Linked DNA regions of Drosophila melanogaster. The protein of the gene in region 2 interacts with the protein of the main gene of each other region in a pairwise test. Each region holds a gene or a part of one and is shown on either strand. Other genes may lie near its edges.

What was found. The genes of interacting proteins can lie anywhere in the genome.
Region 1: the proteins of mri (region 2) and Lmpt interact in a two-hybrid assay, tested with the Drosophila melanogaster proteins (one large-scale study listed by BioGRID).
Region 3: the proteins of mri (region 2) and Prosalpha3 interact in a two-hybrid assay, tested with the Drosophila melanogaster proteins (one large-scale study listed by BioGRID).

Annotation. Positions count from the first base shown.
Region 1 is NT_037436.4:16,895,455-16,902,543, reverse strand, and holds the start of Lmpt (limpet), read right to left. Parts: upstream 3,130-7,089; 5' UTR 2,492-3,129; coding exon 476-2,491; intron 416-475; coding exon 353-415; intron 167-352; coding exon 1-166.
Region 2 is NT_037436.4:194,343-202,652, forward strand, and holds mri (mrityu), read left to right. Parts: upstream 1-5,831; 5' UTR 5,832-6,129; coding exon 6,130-6,718; intron 6,719-6,828; coding exon 6,829-7,026; intron 7,027-7,098; coding exon 7,099-7,416; intron 7,417-7,474; coding exon 7,475-7,689; 3' UTR 7,690-7,810; downstream 7,811-8,310. Other genes in the region: rno (rhinoceros), read right to left, coding at 1-2,261, 2,331-2,947, 3,006-3,195, 3,248-3,464, 3,538-3,732, 3,794-4,245; Gk1 (glycerol kinase 1), read right to left, coding at 7,872-8,087, 8,147-8,310.
Region 3 is NT_033778.4:20,991,020-20,996,747, forward strand, and holds Prosalpha3 (proteasome alpha3 subunit), read left to right. Parts: upstream 1-3,880; 5' UTR 3,881-3,971; coding exon 3,972-3,974; intron 3,975-4,083; coding exon 4,084-4,289; intron 4,290-4,426; coding exon 4,427-5,012; 3' UTR 5,013-5,099; downstream 5,100-5,728. Other genes in the region: CG3216 (uncharacterized protein), read right to left, coding at 1-152; dgt3 (dim gamma-tubulin 3), read right to left, coding at 1,310-1,453, 1,518-1,695, 1,755-2,420, 2,482-2,844, 2,907-3,235, 3,287-3,304. UniProt on the Drosophila melanogaster protein: The proteasome is a multicatalytic proteinase complex which is characterized by its ability to cleave peptides with Arg, Phe, Tyr, Leu, and Glu adjacent to the leaving group at neutral or slightly basic pH.

The DNA of each region.
Region 1 (7,089 bases), about 17 Mb from region 2:
CATTGATGGCTGGTGCTGTTCGCGGTGGCTGCTGTTGCACTGACTGCTGCTCCTGGCTGGCGGACCAGCGCTCCGGATAATGCTCCATTTCATCCATACGTGGACTGCGTCGCAAGCCAGGTGAACCACCCCTTGATTGCTCCTCTGCTGCGATAGAGGTTTGCAGCTTTTTGGGGGAAAGGTGAAGCGGAAAAGCAAGCGGAATGTGGGAGCAGTAGCAATATGAAAAGCAAAGAGGTAAAGCAGTTAGGACAGTTAGTTATGCGGCAGTGGTGTCTGCGATTGGTGGATTAGGTTGTGGTCGAAATTATTGGGTGAGAAATGATGCCAGGTGTCTGTGCTACGCACTTACATTGGATTTGTTGCTGTCGCTGGTATCCACTGCTTGCGGGTTGTCCTTCTCCGCTTCTTTGTCCTAACACACACATAATAAATCATTGATATAGATCCTCGGCTTGTAGATTCATTTACTCACCAACTGCTCCTTGGAAAGTTGTTGTTTTAGGGCAGCCACTGCCTGTTCGTTTTGTGCCTCAGTGGCCTCTTCAAAGGAGGACGATTTTGGCTCATTTGTAGCTTCTTCCTCCACATCCTCTCCCCTGGATGGTCTTTCTAGTTCGATTTCCTCCTCGTCTATGGAGAGCGCTTTTTCCCGCTTCCAAAACTCGGTATCCTTATAATGCTCCGGCACAACCTCACCCCAGGGATTTGTGCTCTCCTCACCGAGCATCTCTAAGGATGTGGTCGACTCTGCCGTTGGTCTAACATCCTTTGCTGGACTCCTTTTGTGACGTCGGTGGGATTTAACCCTCAGGGTAGGTTCGCTCGTATACTTGATGGGGTTATAGTCCTCTCGGTCGCCGTGGCGCAACTCCTCCTCCTCTAGCGAGGTGAACATCTTTAGTTCTTCGTCGCGGGAGGCTCGCGATTCCCGCGAGGAGTTCGAGCTTCCACTGGATCGTCGCTTCTTAAAAGCCCTTCTTCTCCCTGAACCATCCTCTCGCATCAAAGGACGATTCTTAATGCCATCTAGAGAACGAAGGTAGTCCTCGGTGTACTGGACTTCCTGTATCTGATCTTCTCCTTCAGGTTCTGGGCGTTCACTTTCGATTCTGTTGCCCTCATCAGAGGGCTGCGTGCTGAAGGACGACTGCTGGATGGAGAACGGAGTTTTGGGTTCAAGAGAGGATCCTTCATCCGATACGCCAGGGAAGGTGAGTGTTTTTGACTTTGCTGAGTAGGCGTCTTCAGGACCACTTCCTTGACCAAATTGAGTTTTCACTTTATGCACCATGGGTTCTTCTGGAGGCTCCTGAAACCTGGGTGGAGCCACTTTCTTCACACACAGCTCCTCCACCACGGGTTCCATGCCAGCATACTCGTCTGCCTCCTCTTTGCTGTGTGAGGCTTGAAGTTGGCGCTGTTGTAACATTACCATCTCCTCTTCTGCCTCAAGAAAGCGTCTGGCGTTTTCCTCAATCATTCGCTGTTTTTGCTCCAGATCAGTTCTGCTGGAGATCAGGCGACGCGACTGCTCTGCGATGGCAGCATCCTCCTCCAGTTCGCTCTCTGTAGCGCTTGGACTGAGCTCTCTTTCTGCTGCCAGAAGACGCTCTACGATCTCCGCATCCCTCAGTGCTTGCCCTTCTTCGTCAGCTTGATCGCGCTCTCGCTGAATCTCGGCATCAAAGAGACGACGCTCGGCTTGCGCTGCCTCGGCTTCAGCCAGGATCCTTTGTTGTTCGGCTCGCTCCTTTTCGGCTTCGGCCTGCTCTCTCTGACGCTCTGCCACGACGATTCTTCTTTCGCTTTCTTCTCGCTCGCGCTGCTCTTCAGCTTCTTGCAGTCTTCGCTCATTCTCCTCCCTTTCCCGTTCGGCATCTATCAGCCTTCTTTCGTTTTCTAGGCGTTCTTTCTCCTCGTTTTCGCGCTGTTTACGCTGATTTTCTTCTGCTTCTAGCTGTCTGCGTTCGGCTTCTCTTTGTTCCTGCAGTTCTTTCTCCGCCTGCTCTCTTTCGCGCTGTCTTTCCGCCTCTACGAGCTTTCTCTGCTGCTCCTCCGATTCCTCTTTCTCCCTCTGGACTCGTAGTCTTTCTTCTACCAGCTTGGCCTCGGCTTCGGCCAGCTGACGCCTCGTATCGGCTTCAATTTGCTGTTGACGTGCCAGTTCGGCTGCCAAAGCTTGTCTTTTATCTCCAGCAGGATCTACTCGTATTCCATTGACATATAGGACACCATCCTGCATGACATTGGTTCCTGCCAGGGCTTCCCTTTCCGCCGCCTCCTTGATCTGCTTATCCAATCGCTCTCGCATGCGAGGCAATTCTTCTGCGTCAGCTGCTGCATCTACAGAAGAATCGCCGGGATGTTGGAAAGTCCAGTGGTATAGATGGCGCGCCACAAAGGCGAATTCCAGGGCACCTAGGTATCCAATTAGCAGCGAGAATAGTAGCTCGCCGACGCCGGTTAGCGCCGTCTCCTCAGCGGCCATTGCGTAATGACCAGAATCGAAACGGAATCCGAATCCTCCAACGTTCGCCGATGCAATGAGAGTATGTGTCGACGAGAACCGAATCGGCTAACACGTATTATATAAAATATATTCACCACGCACTCGAAAATTCACACCACTCACGTTAATGGCCAGCCGATTAGGTAATTCGAAAAATATTTATTTCACTTTCGCTCACAAATCATTGAACCAATCATCGATATATATTCATTTATCTACGTTTTGAGACGATTTATGAGAGCGCGAAGCAAGAAGAATCGGAGATGGGCGGACTCGCCAGGCGGATGCAGTTGCTCGGGCGGCGAGCTCTTGTTTTCCGCTAATCGATCGTCTTGCAACTGATTAATGCCCCAGCCAATGCCCATGGGTCCCCCGATTTCTAGAGAACAAGTGAATCAGCGGCGAGAGAACCGCCAAGAACCGAATCCGTTCAAATGGCAAACGGCGCTAATTGACGGCCAGCGATGAGAGCAAAAGGCCTGTAGAGCTGACAAGACATCGCCGACTTTTGTCGCTGGCAATTTGGCAACACAAATGTATCTGCTTCTGTCCGCTGCCGTTGTTGCACTGCCTTGCCTCCGTGTCAAATGCCAAAGCAATCGGAATTGGCCAAAGCCGATTTTCTAATCAGTTTAGTCGACACCCCGCCGGCCGCGCCCCCTTTTCGTTTGGGGGGAACTATTTTTGGTCTATGCTTCGATTGCTGTTTTCCACAAAACACTTTTCGCCACTTTCTGCTTTGCTCGCCGTTTTCGTGCGGGAGAACAGTTAGCGACATGACCATAAATCGGATAGGGAAAATCAAATGCAACTGTCATTTCGATAACATAATGAAGAGTTTTTTAATCTCAAGCAAGTATCAAGATTTAGGGATCTTTTCTTTCCTATCCTTTTATTCAGGTTTAAAAATTCAATTTATCAAAATTAATCAGAAAATGTTTCTTTTGATATTTTAAAATAATAAAAAATCAAGTATTTTCTGAAAAACATGATCTTTCTATACTGCATACCACACATATTATTCAGACGCACAGTTGGCTGCAATAATATACAGAGCTAAGGTGCCAATTTCCATAAAAATGCTTAATTTGGCATTAATGGTCACATCGTATCTCCGATTTTAGAAAAAATAACATTTAAGAGTACAATGTTGAGATACAATTTTGTTTATAAAATGCCCAATTCTTTTGTTTATTTTGCCAATAAAATTTGGTATTCTCGAAAGTGGGAAAAATATATTTTAGCATTCGTAATTCTTATGGGCATGACTTTTACTGTTCCTGGTGTTTGCAAATCAGTTTTCTTTGGCATTGCCAGCGCCTGGGGCCAGGGTCGCCACGCCCCATTTCGCCGCCTCCGAGCGGATTGCACACAAATGTTTGCCATAAATTTCGTCTTGGCACTGACACTAACATTGCCAGCAGCTTTCAGAGGCTCTTTATCGCCGATTTCGCTGTGGTTCTCTTCTGCGTTTTCAGAATCAGTATAATTATTGTCAAACGCGGCATAATTGTGTTCTTTGCCCCACAAAGCCAAACTATTTTTGTATTCTTTTGTTTATTCTCATCATCTGATTGTCATTAGAAATTGTGGCAAAAATAGATAGATTTATATGAATAAATGGGTCATCTGGGCTCTGATATATTCATATGTTTATTTTGCTTTTCGCAACGAAAGCGAAAGTGTTTCTGATGGTAATTTAAATTTATTTTGAATAAATTTAAACATGGTTTTTTGTACAATAACACCGAAAGGCGACAGACAATGCAATTTCTTTATCCAACATTTTCTAATTAAAAATCGATCAACACGCATATAAAAAAAATTTATTTACTTGCATATTACACCCCCAATCTATTTAAAATCAAAATAAATGGATAAAGGATATTTTCAATCGAGCTAAAGCAGTTTGTGCACATCAATAACAAATTGCGAATACCTGCAGCAATTTTTAGCAATCTCTAACCTTAACCGAATGCCACAAATTTCCGGCTCACTCGCAATGAACTTCCGCTCGACGGATGACAACGCGTCAACAGCCAGTGCTGCCAATGAACTGCCTTCATTTCTTTGTTGCCATCGCCACTCGCGAGTCGCTGCATTTGCGGAGCTGGAGGATAGATATCCCCGGGATCCCCGACTCCCACAGGCAGCCAAGTGAAGTTCAATGAAAATGCCATAACCTTTGGAAAGGGCGATTGCCGCACCTATGCAATAAACGTGAACTGCGTGCGGCGGGCGATAAAAACCAGAGCCCGTGACAGCGAGCACTCACTCACACGGACACTCTTGATTTGCCAGGCGACACACAGATACCATCTGCAGACGTTGCCCCAAAAGTGTGCCACACAATATTTGTCAATTAGGGATCGGATAGGTGGGGTTATGCCAAAGACGACTCACCTCATCACAGCCAGCGCAGCGGGGCTTCAGCATTTCCGCATAGTGGCGCTCGCAGTAGACCTTGTCGTCGTGGACGCAGTAGGTGAGGTCCACGAGTAGCGAGTTGCAGGTGCTGCAGGTGAAGCACTTTGGGTGCCACATCACGCTCTCCACAAACTTGGGCGCCGCCACAACTAGCTCGCCGGCGGCTATCTCGTTATCACAGTGCGCACAATGCTCATCGTAGGGGGCATCCTTGATGTAGGCTATTCAACAGGAAAATAATGCAAAACGCAATTAGTTAGGTCACTCTGGGTGAGGTCAGGCAATTTAAACTAAAGCCATTCGCAGGCTTGTCATAATGTGTAATGCCTAAGTTAATTATGTGAAAGAGTGTATATATTCGTTTTTAGAATTTACTAAAAACATCAACACAATAGTTCCAACTTAATTAAAGATCTAGTCTTACCTATGTCCAGTGCGATTTCGTTTCGCGCCGTCACAAAGTCCTCGAAGGAAGCCTCGTGCTGCACCTCCAGGTGCTTGCAGTGCTCCAGCGAGAGGTCCTGTTTGGGCAGCTGGTAAGAGATCTGTCGCTCCCGGCTGCAGGCGCCTTCGCTGCCCAGCCGGGGTACCATTTCGTCGGGCAGCTGCTCGAAGTAGCGGTTGATGCGCGAGGAGGCACGCACTCCGGGCGGAACCCACGTGAAGCCCAGATCCCGCGCCTCCACTCCCGAATCCGCCGGAGAGACCAATTTGAAGCCGAGTCGCTCATGCACGTTGGTAGTCTGTTGCTGATAGATGGCATGCGCCTCGCGAGGACATTTGCAGGACTGGCAGGTTTTCCTGGAAATTAAGAGGGAAATAAGGTCGTTTAATACATTATACTTTATATACAATGTAACAACATTGCTGAAGATAATATTAATTCGAAAATATTTTATCAATAAATTCCAAATTCATTCCACTGTGCGCAGCTTCGTTATGCTTCAACGTAAGTTCGCGTGGCGCCATCCAGCGGCAGCTTTGCGAACCCGGCTATTGCCTTACCTCACGATGAGATCGTATATTTCCTTCCTATCGAATACTTTGCAGTAGATACTGAGCACGTTCAGGCAGGCGTAGTCCATTCCCGTCCATGGGACATCCGAGGAGGCCAGTGCCGCCCACAGTGGGCACTCTGCGTGACGGTCCAGATCGAGCATTTTCACCATTTTACGCCACTTTCAACAGCACTTTGAACTAAGGGTTTTTGGCTTTATATTCGCTTCTTCTCTTTTTTTTTATTCCTATTACTGTTACCGTTTGTCTTAATGAACTTGACTTGGCTCTCGTGGGTTTCTGCTTAAATATCTTTTCTTATTGCCTGACTCGGCACAATTTGTCGGTTCTTCTTTGGTGATTCGCGCTGCCACCTCCACGAAAATAAGAGAAACTCGCAACTTAGGTTAAATCACCTTTCATTCGGCACGTCGGTGCGCGTTATTTGCTCATTGACATTTTGATTAAAGTGCTAATTTGACCTTTGTTCTGATAGCATTTGTTTACTATCCAAGAATTTAATTTTACCTCTGCGCGGTATTCTACGGTCTGGGAATTTCTCTAATTGCTTGTTTACTTATTTTTCAATTAGAGATACAAGCAAAATAATCACAATCATAAATACGCCCACACCAGTGAAATTGTGCGTAGGCCCATTACCAGTATACAGAAAGATAAATTGCAGATTGTATAGTAAATCGGATAAACTAACTAATTTTAAAATATTATTTATCAGTCAAAGGTTCAGAAGAGTATTACAAAAATAAAAAAGAAGGTCTGATAGAATGAGCTCACGATTATGGCATGCCCGTTGGTCTGACATTCAGCGAAAATAAAAACGGCCAAGCAATGAAATAAAATAAAAGGTAGAAAAGCATCTTTTGATAAGATTAATAAAGGTCTCTCCCCCTATACACACACACACACACACACACACAGGCACCCAGCAATCCTGGGTTGGGATTGGCCATAAGTGTGTGTGTGTGTGTGATGTCATCGGGGGGAGCTGAAAACGAAAAACTCCAAGCCCAAAACCGAAATTGCCAAATTCCATTTGCTCAATCATCGACGGAGGCCAAACTGCGTTAGCGTTCAAAATAAGATAAGCCGATGTGAGTTCTTCCACCTAAATGCTATCAAATGGAAACAGGGAC
Region 2 (8,310 bases):
TCTTTGTCCGAAATGTCGTTCCCCGTTGAGAAAGATTCTAGAACGGGTTTGCTACTCTTTAATTGCTCCGCTGCCTTCTTAGCCGCTTGCCGTTGAGGAACCAATGAGACTGCAAAGTTCGACTTGGCTGAGACTGGGGTAGCGACGACAGATGGGGGCTTGCTTTGAGTATGCGTTGGGAGGGCAGGCTTGTCATTTTCCGTAATAGATGGCGGACGTGCATCCTTTGGGACCTTTGGTGGCCTTCCGCGCTTTCCACGTTCAGCAGGTGCGCTTTCGGACGTTTTTCCAACAGTCTTCTGTAAGTGTTCTTTTGGTCGTACTTTTTCAAGACTTGATTTATCCGCTTCATTCGACACACGAGAGCTTGAATCCTTCACCTTGCTCTTTGCAGTTCCTGAAATGGAGTTTATGTCTGGCTCTCTGACTCTGTCGGACACATCTGGCTGTAGCGTCGTGGCGAGATTTGTGGATCGCATGTTCTCAGAAGCCTTTTTGGCTGCCTGGCGCTGTGGCACCACCAAAAGATCTGCCGGATACAACTTGGCATTCGGGTTCGGTTTGGTTTTTGTACTGTTGCCGATACTGGCAGCCCCTTCCTTTCCTTCCCGCGTGTTCTTCGCTTTACTAGTTGAGGACGCTGCTTGGGAAGTAGAGGATGTTGTGGCTGCTGTTCCTGGCACAAACTCTTTCATAGCTGCCTTTGTTCTAATCGTCTGTTGGTTTTGTGAGTCACTAACATTACTTTCCACGGTGGCCTGCTCCTCCTGGTCTTTTTCTTGTTCAGAGGAACTGCTCTCAGAGTCGGAGTAGATATGCTGTCCCAAGTTTCTACCAATGGCCGAACCAGTCGTGGCTAGTCCGGAAGTCGTTGTGCTCTCACGCTGTCGTTCCCCTCTTAGAGGCAACAATTCCTCACTTTCGTCGCTCGATACGCTCTCATCGGCATCTTTATCCATTTGGGCAAGTCCTCGTGTTGTCGTAGACAACTTTCGTCTTGCAGAGGCTCCAGTTCCCTCTCCAACGTCTGCTTCCGTTGTAGGTTTTGACCTACTTGCCTGGCTCCTATTAGGTACTGATTTGCTTTGAATTGGCCCCCGTCTCGCACCGCGCTCTGGTTCTTGGCGGTTTCTACATCGCTCGTCTTCACCGTCGCTGGAGCTGCTTGCAGACCTGGAATCCGGATACGTTGCAGACGCACCCGCAACTGCTTCATTTTGACGTCGCTGTCGCTGTTTTTGCCGCTGCTCAACGGACCGAGCGTAGCTTTGCTTTTTAAGGGGACTTCCTGAGGAAGACTTTCGCTTGGAGACTCCGCTACCCGCGCTAGAGCTACCGCTTTCACTACCCGAATCACTTCCTGAGGAACTATCGGAGCTGCTGGTACCATTCGCCGAGCTGGAATTACCTGATGATATAGTGCCGCTTGACGAATGGGAGGTCGTGCTACTGCGGATATTTGAGTGGAATTGACTTTTGTTGTGGGTCGACGTCGCCGCCGCCGCGCTGCTCTTCGAGGCACGCCTCCCTGTAGGATTCTTCCCTGGCGGAGACCGTACCTTGGATGTAGTCGTTCCCACCTTACTCCCTGCCACAGTCTTCTCAGGCGATGACGTGCGTGAACTAAGAATGCCATTATTAAGCTTCTTGTTTGGCGAAGCTTTAGCAGGCTGCTTGCGTTTGTTAGGAGACTGCGAGGCACGGCCACGGCCCTGTTTACCACTCTGCAGCTTACCCATAAGCTGTTCAAGGATGTATTTCAAATCCTGGTACTGCGCCGGCACAGTTTGTCCTCCCACAGAGCTGTAGAAACGGTCATACAAAGTAGGTCCGTCGTTGGCGTAGATTACAGCGTTCAGATCCATCACAGGTTGTTGCTGCTCTTGTTTGGTCTGCTGCTTCTCCAAGCGCATCTCATCCAGAACTCCCAGCTGCTTGTAGAATACCTGCTCACGTAGCTTAAAGAGAGAGCGCGAAAGCTTTTCTCTTCGACTAACCATATAGCAGAGATTACGAACTCGCTCCAAATCCTGTCGCAAATGCACCACCAACTTATGATTTTCCATGTCCTGTTGCTCCTGCTTGCGGGCTATCATCTCCACATCTTCGGACTTGGGCGGGATAAGCTCGCGATTGTGTCGAGACTTTCTCTTAAGCTTCCAATAATTGTATATGGCAACAATAGCATCGTCGTCGACATCAAATAGATGGCAACTGATGTCATTAAAGTTAACATGCTTATCGAACTCAGCTTCCACCTCCTGAAAATCAATGGGAAAAGTTAGCAACCGAATGCATGCAGAAGGCACAACGGAAAAGAAACTACTAACCTGGAGGCGCTGAGCTCTGGCTTGGTTACGTTCCTCGGAGGTCAGTTCGGTTTTACGGTGATTTTTCCGCCTGCGTGGATCCTCTCCAGTTGTCCCGCACGCGTTGTTGCCGTCGTCGGCTCCTCCACCAGCCCCACTGCCGTATCTGTTTGCTTTCTGCATGGCGCTTGCGACTGAGGCACTGCCTCCCCCATGACTACCAGCATTTTCCTTCTTACCCTTGCTCATACTGTGTTTCTGACAATAAGAGCGCAGCTTCACGCCGTCCTCAGCATTACCTTCCTCTATGATTGCACGCATTTCCAGGCCATGCTGAAACGCGCAAGTCACATGGTATGCTGTTTTGCAGGGCTTTACTGAGCACTGGATGCAGCTGCCAACTCGCTTTCGGCAGAGTACACAGATCAGGGACCAACGCGACTGAGGAATGCTAGAGATTTTCGTGATGGGTTCCATGCGATCCACACACCCAATGCTGACCTCGGGTATCCACAGAGCGCAAGAGACGTGTGCCCAGTGCTTACCCGACTTGTTGGATTTCATAGCGCCGCCCTTATTTGGACAGAGGACACAGTCCGGCTTAATTCCCATCGAACAAGTGCGGCATAGCCATTGTCCTGAAACAAAAGTTTACATGAGCACACTAACATTTCCACTCCACTAGGTGCTGCTTACCTGATGGAATTGCTGTAATGCCATAACACGCCTGGTGCACACAGATATTGCAATTATCACAGAATACCATTTCGTTCGCCTCCTCGGAGTCGGGCGATCGGCAAACATCGCAGATGACATTCTCATCGAATTCGATGCCCAAGCCTTCTTCCAGTTTAAGTATGACTTGAATCTGTTCCCAGCAACGAACCTAGAACGCAAAAGTCAATATATTGGTTCAGCATGGGGTCTAGTGAGCTTACCTCTAGCTCCTCAATGACGCGCTCAAACTGCGTCGCGTTTATGGGAAAAGCACCACATTGGGCACGATCGCTGTTGTAGAGACGCAACCAGGCCTCGTCAATAGGATCTATATCATAGGCACATGTGTTCTCCGCCAAGGCAACAACATTCGTCAGGTAATGCAGATCCGGCGAGTAGTGCTCGTCTTTGGTAATGCGCAGATAGCGATTTTTCGGGCTGTAAACGAGAGCCGCAGTTCAGTACAGAAATTCACAAGTACGAAAAAAAAATATGCTAGGTATTAACTTACAGCTTAAAGTCGTGCGCTGGAGACACAACAGGCTCGGGCAGAACATAGACGCATGGCTCAGGAAGGGAGTCTGGGTTAACGGGCACTTGCACACCCTTTTCCCATTCCTGCTTCCATGGGTCTGTTACTATTAAATACTCGTAGTTGGCCAACGGCTCAGAGTCTGGCAATTTCATTGCGCTAATGAGATCCTTGCTGCAATTAAAATTTGAATATTATTGAATCGTTTCTAATTGGTTTGCTGGTCTGTTAATACCGGTAAAGTTCAGCTGGAGCTTCCGTTGAGCTTCGATTGTAGATGCTCGACATCTTGATGTCCGCTACAGACCGCGCCTGCCAGGAGCTACTAGAACTCGCCCCCTGCGACTTGCACTTGCTTGCCGACTTTGCCAGTTTCGTTGACTTCGATTTGCTAGTGCTGGTAGCGCCTGCCGCGGCTCTTCCTTGTCCTCCTCCCCCCGCTTCCGCCCCTGGCTCTTCATGTTTGCTTTTGCACAAAGGCAGAACTGGCACACGCTCCGATCCTGTAGCTGGACCCGATCCAGTCACTTCAGCTACTGCTGCCGTAGTGGCTCCATTAGGTGGCCTACCTTTGCGCCGCTTGGTGGGCGGCGGCTGCGGCTCAACATCCTTGCGCTGATGCTGTTGCGGCGGCGGATGGTGCGACTGGTGATGCTGCTGATTACCGCGCTTACCTCTTTGTGACATTTTTCATTGGTGTTGATTGGATATTTGTGTGTTTTTGCTTCGATTGGTACCTTGTCCCTTGTGTCTTGTGCTTGTTAGAGAACGGGTTCTTTGCTGCAAGACCTAGAAGTAAGAAGGCAAAAGCAGCTTCAATACGTATTTCACGCGATTTATTTACTAACCAAATTTACTTACTACATGCTTAAGGCCACAGTTGGCGACACCACACCGGCTGCTGCTGCTGCGCTCTCCTGGATGTGGTGCGGTCGTGATTCTTGGTGGTCCACCCTTTGTGCCCCGTGGACATGGACGCCGCTGCTGCCCCAGCCCTAATATCCAGTAGCGACGCCACTTTGCAGTCCTGTGTGCTCCGCACTTCTCCACGGGCGAGTTAGTCCACTTCCACTGCCACCTTCCGCTTGCTGCCTTTTGTTATTGTTCGTTGTTTATCCACAGACTTTTGCAAGTTTTTCTTTGGCGTTTGGCTCACTGGTTTGGATTCTCGACGAGCATTCGCTAGTCTGGTGGGAGAGAAGGCATATGTTTGTGGGTTATTCGCTTATATTAGGAGCGTTCCCAGTAAGTGTCCACATTTTCTATGCTTTCCGAAAATACACAAAAAATATAGAAAAACGTTCAAGCTGCCAATAGGTGACTGGTGCAAAACCCACAGGCGCCCTCCCGCTCGCACATAGCACGCTCGTTTAAGGGCGCGCTTACTATGCGCGTGAGTGCAAGCAGGAGGCAAGCAGGTGGCGTTCGTGTTGCATCCGCCAGCTTATACACGGCACCCAGCATACCCCTCCGACACTTCACTACTCAGAAGCAATCAAAGTTTTTGCACTTTTTTTTACACTTTTATTATAACAACTTATTTGTTATTGCTATCCGCAAACCTAGACAGCCACTCTGCTCGTCGCTAGCGCTTCCGCACGCGACACGCCCACTCAGGGCGCCACTTTCGCACTGCCCATTCTTGGGGGAGTTGGGATTTTGTTATATATTTTACATTTGGGTTTTTTGCCGCCGCAGACACACACGCCAAGCACTTGTTACTGACCGAAGACCGCTCACAGTCTTCGCATTTCGTGAAGCGTCCGTATCAAACTCACGTTTCCCAAAATCGCATTTGCGTTCGCAGGAATTACAATTCTTTTGATTATTTATTTTATTTTTGAGCAAAAATTATTTTTCTCAGATCGCCATGATGAACGGTTGCAAATTTAAACTATCGAGTGCATTTAGTCGGTGGTCGGTATCGATACACAGCTTGGGTATATACAGAGTTGCATTCGGCCCAACGCTGTATTTTGTTTTAACAACATTTAATTAATTTCCACAGAATTTTCATATTAATTTGTATTTGAAAAAAAAAGTTATTTCCATTAAGTTAAGATATGTTAATTAAGAATTTTCTTATTATTACCTCTAAATATTATAGATTTTCTTAACTTAATAGAAGTTAATAATTATGTAACAAACAATGTCGAAATGATGAAATTACAATCTTTTTATTTTTTTAGAGAGGAATTTTTTATTCGTTAAAAAAAACCCGATAAGCTGAAAACAAACATCGCGATTGAAGATAAATATCGGTTAAAAATATGTTATTGTGATTACAGAGGAAAACTATCGACTGAGCGCACCCAGGAGCCCATCTCCAGCACCAACAAGAAAAAATATGTATATTTATAACTATATGTAAAAAGGAAAAAGTCGCGTCGCACAAAGGTAACGTGAATACTATTTAATCGGACCTCTGATGCAGCGATAAGCAGGCTTTTTTTCAACGGAGCCTCGCTAATTTGACCGCCCTCTGCCAGATTGTCTTTGTCTCTCTCGAAAAGTCGGTGGAACGGTGTTGTACTGGAATATTTGAAGAGTGGCTCATCAAACGCAACAAACATGTCAAACACTCCAAGTCTGAACAGTAGTAGTAGCAATATCAGTAGCAAGGCGCCCCTTGCCCAGAAGCAGGACACGTACAGTAGCGACAGCAGCGAGGAAGTTCTCGAAACAGCCGAGGAGCGGAGGAGGCGCATCCTGAAGGAGCGCAGCCGGCTGAACCGTCCGCAGCACAATATGTCAGGCGGAGGTGCTGTGCCCAAGCACGACATAAAATCCCCTTGCGGAGCATCTCCCAGCTGCCAGGCAACTGGTTCCGGAATGGGCCGCCTGCCGCTCCCTCCCGAAAGGATCACCATGCTGGTGGACGGTGTGCGCTTCACGGTGGAGCAATCACTGCTTACAGCACATCCCACCACAATGCTTGGCACGATGTTCGGCTCCGGCTTCCAGTTCGCTCATACCAACGAGCGCGGCGAGTACGACGTTGCCGACGGCATTTCGCACTTAGTGTTCAGAGCCATTCTGGAGTACTACAAAAGCGGTGTTATCCGCTGCCCGCCCACTGTTTCGGTACCGGAACTAAAAGAAGCCTGTGATTATCTGCTCATTCCCTTCGACGCAACCACGGTGCGCTGCCAGAACCTAAGTGAGTATAACGCGAACTATTCCTGCCAGGGCGAACCTTAGTTGTGGCCACCTCTGCTTGTTTTCCGTCTCTTTCCTTGTAACATGCCCTCTGTTATGTTTGACATAAAGGAGGCCTTCTCCACGAGCTTAGCAACGAAGGAGCGCGACAACAATTTGAACTCTTTCTTGAGGACCTAATTCTGCCCCTCATGGTGGCCTCGGCGCAGCGCGGGGATCGAGAGTGTCACGTTGTGGTGCTCCTTGAAGACGATATGGTCGAGTGGGATGAAGAGTTTCCGCCTCAGATGGGCGAGGAGTATTGTCAGAGTGAGTGTATTTAAAAAATGTGTTTGCATTAGTATCACGGAAGTGGAAGCAACACTAACATTTCTAACGCAGCCGTGCACAGCACTGCCATGCACCGATTCTTCAAGTACATCGAGAACCGCGATGTGGCCAAACAGGTGATGAAGGATCGCGGTCTGAAGAAGATACGCTGTGGCATAGAGGGATACCCCACCCACAAAGAGAAGATCCGAAGGCGTCCCGGTGGACGGGCTGAAGTCATCTACAGCTATGTGCAGCGACCTTTCATCCACATGTCCTGGGAGAAGGAGGAAGCAAAGAGTCGCCATGTTGATTTCCAATGTGTAAAATCCAAGTCTGTAACGAATCTAGCGGAAGCAAATGCAGATCCGCCACTGGAATTGGACGCAAGTGCGTAAGGCTCGAAACGGAGAGTAACAGCTCCCTTAAAGCCCAAATTCGTTTTCAGGTGGAAATCCGATTCCCCCTATAGCAGTGGCTAATCCGCATCCCAATAACGCTGAGCTCGCTGCCGGTATGGCCGTCGCACCCGCAGCTATAGGCGTGGCTGGTCCAGCAGTCGTGGTAGCCGTCGACGAGGCGGCCGGGGGCGTTGTAATGCTCAACGAGTTGGACCAGGCAGCGATCGCTGTTGCCGTCGGAATAGTTGATGAAAATATGTAGATCAACTGACCGGCTGGTAGTCGGAACACACTGCCAGAGCATCACAGCGCACAGAAAAACACTTTACGTTTTTAATTAACATTTTTATATGTATATGTAATAAATGGAAATTTCGAATACGAAAAACCAAGCAATTGATTTACGAATAGAAGAACATGAACGTTACCAGACATTAGCTGTGATCACGCTCCGTCAAAGGCCTCCCGTTCGCCCTGTGGAAGCGTCGAAGTCTCCCAGTTCAGTGAACGATCGATAGCCATTTTCCACTTTTGGTAGCGCAGGTTGCGATCGGTGGCACTGATCGATGGCTTTATGGCTTCTCGGGGGCCAGATTTAGAGAGTGGAGCCTCCATTTGGTATCGGTTTTCAACGGCTTTGTAGGCTGCCATTGCAGCTCCCTAAAGCATTTTTGAAGCATTATTGAAGCTGCATTTACATCACAAGTTAAAGTACTAACCAGCGCTGTTGTCTCTGCGATCTTCGCCCGGAGTACTTGAATTCCTACTAGGTCGGATTGAAGCTGCAGGAACAGATTATTCACAGTCATGCCCCCGTCTACCATAAGCTTGGCCAGTGGAATCTTGCAGTCCTTGTGCATCGAATCGAGAATATCACGGACCT
Region 3 (5,728 bases), on a different chromosome or scaffold from region 2:
TTGAGCCCCGCCAAGGAAGTAGTGGAGTCCAAACTAATATCCTTGTTCAGATCATCCCAGGTTATATCATTGCGCCTGGGATTCGGATGGGCACTAAAGCAGTTGACGTACATCAGGAAGAAGAAGTGGATGCTGATCCCAAGCAGATGCATTTCGTGGAGTCTAACTATTAAACACAAAATATCCAATAAGTCTGGACCTAAGTGGCTAACTTAGCTGTAACTAGATACAAGAACAAATATTTGTTCTTTTGAAGAATTTGTCTAAATTAGGTAATTATTAGCAAAATATTGCATTTGCTCCTTAAAATTACATTACACATTCAACACCTTAACTTTTTAAATTACTAAATTTAAAACAGAATTGCGACATTAATTCTCTTATAGCCCATGCAGTATGAATATTAAATCCCATTCACTGACTTAATATCCTTTTGAACCCAAAAATCTGTCCAGATCTTCAAATTCGCCGAGCAGCACTTGAGTTTTAAGGGTCACATATAAATTTGAAATTAATTCAAATAGCACTAAGGGGTAATGAGTTGCGAGTAATTATCCATTTAAAGCTTTAAAATGTTCCACTTCTTTGCTGTACTCCTTTAAATTTAAAGTCCTTAAAGCAGTCCAAATATTTAATGTTTTGTAGAAGCACTTTTTAAGGTTTATTTGACTAAAAAAACACACTTTGCACAAACACTTCACTTTATCCAATTGTATTACCGGAAGTCACGAGGGGAAAGATGGCCCGAAGCACGATAATCGAGTGAACCAGTGGCCACAACTGTTGGTCCTTTTATATCCGCAAGGACCTCTGCTCGGCAAAACTCGTCCTGCAGCCCGAATGCCGGCAGCCAATGAGAGTCCTGCAAATCGGCGGGCAAATGACTTCGTCTGCACGGAAAGTGAATCTCTAGGTTAGGCGAACAAGGTTTTATGGCCTCACTTGTTGCTCCTTGGCCAAATCTGAATGGTAATCGCTTGGAAACGCCGTCGCGTGCCGCCAGCAATTAATGCGTCTCTTTGGTGGCACTCGTGTAGACTGCTTTAAGACGATGCTGCCTTAATACGCCCGGTGTTTAGTGAACCCAAATCTGATAGCCCAGGGAAAAGGCATTTCAAAGGGGGGAAAACAATTACCAAAGTCGTAAGCAAAAGTAAATCATGTTGCTGCCTAAGAATCTTTACATACACACATTATACAGCATCCCTAAATTTAGTGTATTGACTTATTATTAGACTAGCAACGCCGTAATGTTTATTTTTGAATAATTTAACATTTATTTACTGACCAGATTCTAAATCAACTAAGTTCACTTGCGGTGCAGACCACCACCTGGACGAATTACTGCAGCGGCTGCCTTTTTGACCTCATCAATTGCATGCATCATGCGCTGCGGCTCAGTGAGAAACCAAATCCACAGGACTACGCTATAGCGATACAGTTTATCCCGCTCCTAAAAGGATAAACAACATTAAAATGTTATATTCCATGATTTTATAGTTAATTAGTATACTTACAATGCGCCCCACGACATTTTCCAGGAAATCTTTTCGCAAGGAACGCCCTGACTCATCCAGGCGAGTTTGCTGCTGGGTGACATTGTATATGGCGCTCAAGTAGCGAACGTTCTCAAACATGGGCTGCTCCAATGGGGAATCATAGACAAACGGCCGCAAAGTCTGCTCCAAGCGCTTGCTAAAAAAAAATATTAATAGCTTAAACGATCTGTATCAAAGTTAAGTATTGCAACTTACAGTTCTGCCAGTTGATCCTGAACAGCAGCACACGACTTTCGGTTCAGCATGCTCTGAAAGGAGTAAGACAGCAGGCGACCGAACTTTTCGTATTCGAAGAGACAAGCCTTGGCCTCAGTTGCCTTTATGTTCTGTCCCAAGTGGGCTGACAACAAATTGGCAATCTCCTGCACAAACTGGGCACAAATGCCCTGATAACTGGCGTTAATGGAGCGCATGGTCTGGATTCTTTGCCAAGTGGCCTGCGCTTGGTCGCGCAACTCCTCCGAAGTGTCCAGGCAGTTGCGCTTCTTGTCGCAGTCCAGTTGGATCGCAATCCACAGCAATTCCGCATTGGACAGAGCATCTGAGATGATTTTAGTGAGCTTCTTGTCGCTTTCATGACGTCGAACAGCTCTTTCCAACTTCAGTTTAGTGTTCTCGTAGAGAACCAGCTCAATACGTCGCTGGGTGTGCTGCTGAATGTGAATGGTTAGATCGTTTAAAAGCGTATCGTGTGTATTGCTCAGTTGATAGTCGTTGAGCAGCTGCAGATCGTGCATTTCACGCGCCATGTCCGTTAAACTGAGGCAGTGAATCTTGCCAAGATCCAACTGGTCAATAAGACACTGCGTGGCCTTCACCTTGGCCTTTGTTCTTATGTAGGATAGTGCATAAAACTGGATGCTGTAAAAACGGTCATATCAATTAATGTGCATTGTTTTTAGCACAGAACCTTTGTGCTTACCCACGTTCCAAGTCCTCCAGCTTGGCCTTTTCGCGCCCAAGATCTTCCTCCGCGCTCTGGAACTCATCATAGTCCTGGATCTTAAAATTCTCCTTCACATACAGAGTAAAGTATTGCATAAATGAATCGCATTTGTGGAAATACTGCTCCAATGGCAGTTGATGCATGAATAGAGGCGGCAACTGTGGGGCGGTGAATGCCTTTTTGGCTTCGGCGCTTAGCCGGCAGTTCTCCTGCTGCAGTTCCTCCAGTTGCTTGGCTTTGGACTGGCACTCGGCTATCAGATCCTTCTCCCTCAGTTGCAACTCGGCGGTGACGCACTCCACCTCGCCTAGGTGCTTAGTTATCGAGTGCTTTGTGGTCCTGCAAAAGTGGATTGACCATCGATCGAACATATATGAGGAAGGTTACAGTTTTTCCCTTACATCATATCTTCCAGAAGCGTAGCATAATCCCTTGAGGCATCTTCGATCGCCTCAATGCTCATGGTCAAGGCGTCGACATCCTGCTGCTTGTAGTTGAGAAGCCCCGGACTTTCGGCCTCGATTTGCAGGAGCTTGAGCTCGCGATCCGAAGCACTTAGCCACTCGCCCCGCCGCTGCATCTCCTCCCGCTCCAGAACCTGTCGCTCTGTGAGGATATTTGCATCCGTGATGTTCCCGGACAGGAACTTGAAGAACATCTCCATCTGCTCATCGTACAGAATCCACTGGTTCGAGCTGTCCACTCCCAGCTTCTTGAAGAATTCCGAGTTCTGCAATCATGGCGATTATAAGCTGATCATTAATTAAATCATCACACATACGCTCAGCAGATCGCCCATCTTTTAAAAAAATGACAACACAAGCTGATTACTTATCGGTTATATCGAAAGGTTTCAGAGACGTTACTAGAGATGGTACCTTTTGAAAATTAACAGGAAATAGTGCTTAATAATTAAGCTTAATAAAAATCGTAGAAATTCCTGATTTCCTATCAACGATTTCATGAAATATTTACTCTTATCTATTTCTGTTAAATATATATATATATAATATATATAATATATATATATATATATATATATATATATAATATATATAATATATATATATATATATATATATATATAATAAATTTCTGTTTATTATATATATATATTTTATATATGAATTATTTTAAATTTTTGCTATGAAGTAAGGATACAATTTTTCTAAATTTGACACAAGTTCTTAAGTTTAATTCAAGTAAATATTATGTTTTAGTACACCTCAATCTTAAAGGGCTTATAAATTGATCTTTGTTAAAATGATTTTAATACCTTATATCGATATGTGGATAAACGTGCACACCACCCCTGGTAAATAGAAACACCCTAACGCCATCTAGTTTGCAGCCCTGGTACCGCTTTGGACGCACTTCGTGTGGCAGTCTGGCAACCCTACACTGAATGACAAGTAAATTCTGTTCGTTTTGCAAAATAAACTTGTAAATTGGTATATTCCTTAGCAATGGTAAGTACCGCGCCCAGAAGACCGGTATTGGTCTGAGAGCCACCATTGGGCCGATGACCATTGAAGGCTAGCAATCGTGGTAGTAATTGACTTGCGTGTATTTTCCCAGGCTCGCCGCTATGATTCCCGCACCACGATCTTCTCGCCGGAGGGCCGTTTGTACCAGGTGGAGTACGCCATGGAGGCCATCTCGCACGCCGGAACCTGCCTCGGAATCCTCGCCGAGGACGGCATCCTGTTGGCAGCCGAGTGCCGCAGCACAAACAAATTGCTGGACAGCGCCATTCCTTCGGAGAAGATCTATCGCCTGAACGAGTGAGTTGAAATTTCAGTAGTATATCCTACGATGAATTCAAGGGTCACAGGCCATATATTTAACTGGCCATGATCTTAATTACCCACTACATTCTCTACGAATCTATCTCTATCCAAGCCTCTTTGTTTTCCCTCAGCAACATGGTCTGCTCGGTGGCTGGCATCACCTCCGATGCCAATGTGCTGACCTCAGAACTGCGTCTGATTGCCCAGCGTTACCAGTTCAGCTACGGCGAGGTGATTCCCTGCGAGCAGCTGGTGTCGCACCTCTGCGACATCAAACAGGCGTACACTCAGTACGGCGGAAAGCGTCCCTTCGGCGTCTCGCTGCTCTACATGGGATGGGACAACAAGTACGGCTACCAACTGTACCAGTCGGATCCCAGCGGCAACTACGGCGGATGGAAGGCCACCTGTATTGGCAACAACTTCGGTGCCGCGATCTCCATGCTGAAGCAGGAGCTGGCCGATAAGGAGAACGTGAAGCTGACGCTGGCGGACGCCAAGGATTTGGCCATCAAGGTACTGAGCATGACCCTGGACACCACCAAGCTGACCCCGGAGAAGGTCGAGATGGCCACGCTGCAGCGTGTGGACAATAAGACCGTATACAGTGTCCTGGAGAAACCCGATGTGGAGAAGCTGATCGAGAAGTACACAAAGGTACAGGCGGAGGCCGAGGCTGCCAAGAAGGAGAAGCAAGCGAAGCAGCCGACCAAGTAATCCCAAGGATGCATTATTATTGATTAAGGGTCTATCCTGATTTTTGTAACCGATGTACGGAGTGTGTGAAATAAAATTTCAAAAAACAAAAACCCACTATCATTGTGCCAATAGGGATGGCCGATTAATCGATAACAGTGCCATTGCCATTCGCAGCGAAGAGCTGCTAAATATGGCCAGCGACGGGCAGTCACTAAAAAAATACCGTACAAAACATTTTGAGAAAAATTCCGTCGCTTTTTATTTGCTGTTGCTGTTATAAAAAATTCAATTATACTTGCTAAACTAACGGTTAATCGGTTTCTGCAAAGGGGCTTATGCGTAATTGGAGAGTGCGCGCAAAACGCGTGGTGAATACGGATTGGAAAACCATTTTTCATACGCAGCAAACAGGCAATGAGCGCGCGTGTGTGTGTGTGCCACAGAAAGTTGCAAGCAGCCTAGAGCTAAATAGGCGCACGGTTGTTAAATATTCACCGTGCTCTCTCGCTTTATGCAATAACAAAATCTGCAAATTCCCCCCATTAGGCGCAAAAATGTGAAAAAAGGGGGGCAAAAAAACCAATGGGAATTTCTCAATGTTGTGTCAATACAGTGAGAGCGACGTACGAAAAGTCAAAAGCAAAGGAGAGGAGAATGGAATAACACATAAAAAAAAGAGCTGAGCCACAGCAAAGAAGCAAGAAGAAACGCGAAGCAGGCTCTAAAAGAAAAAT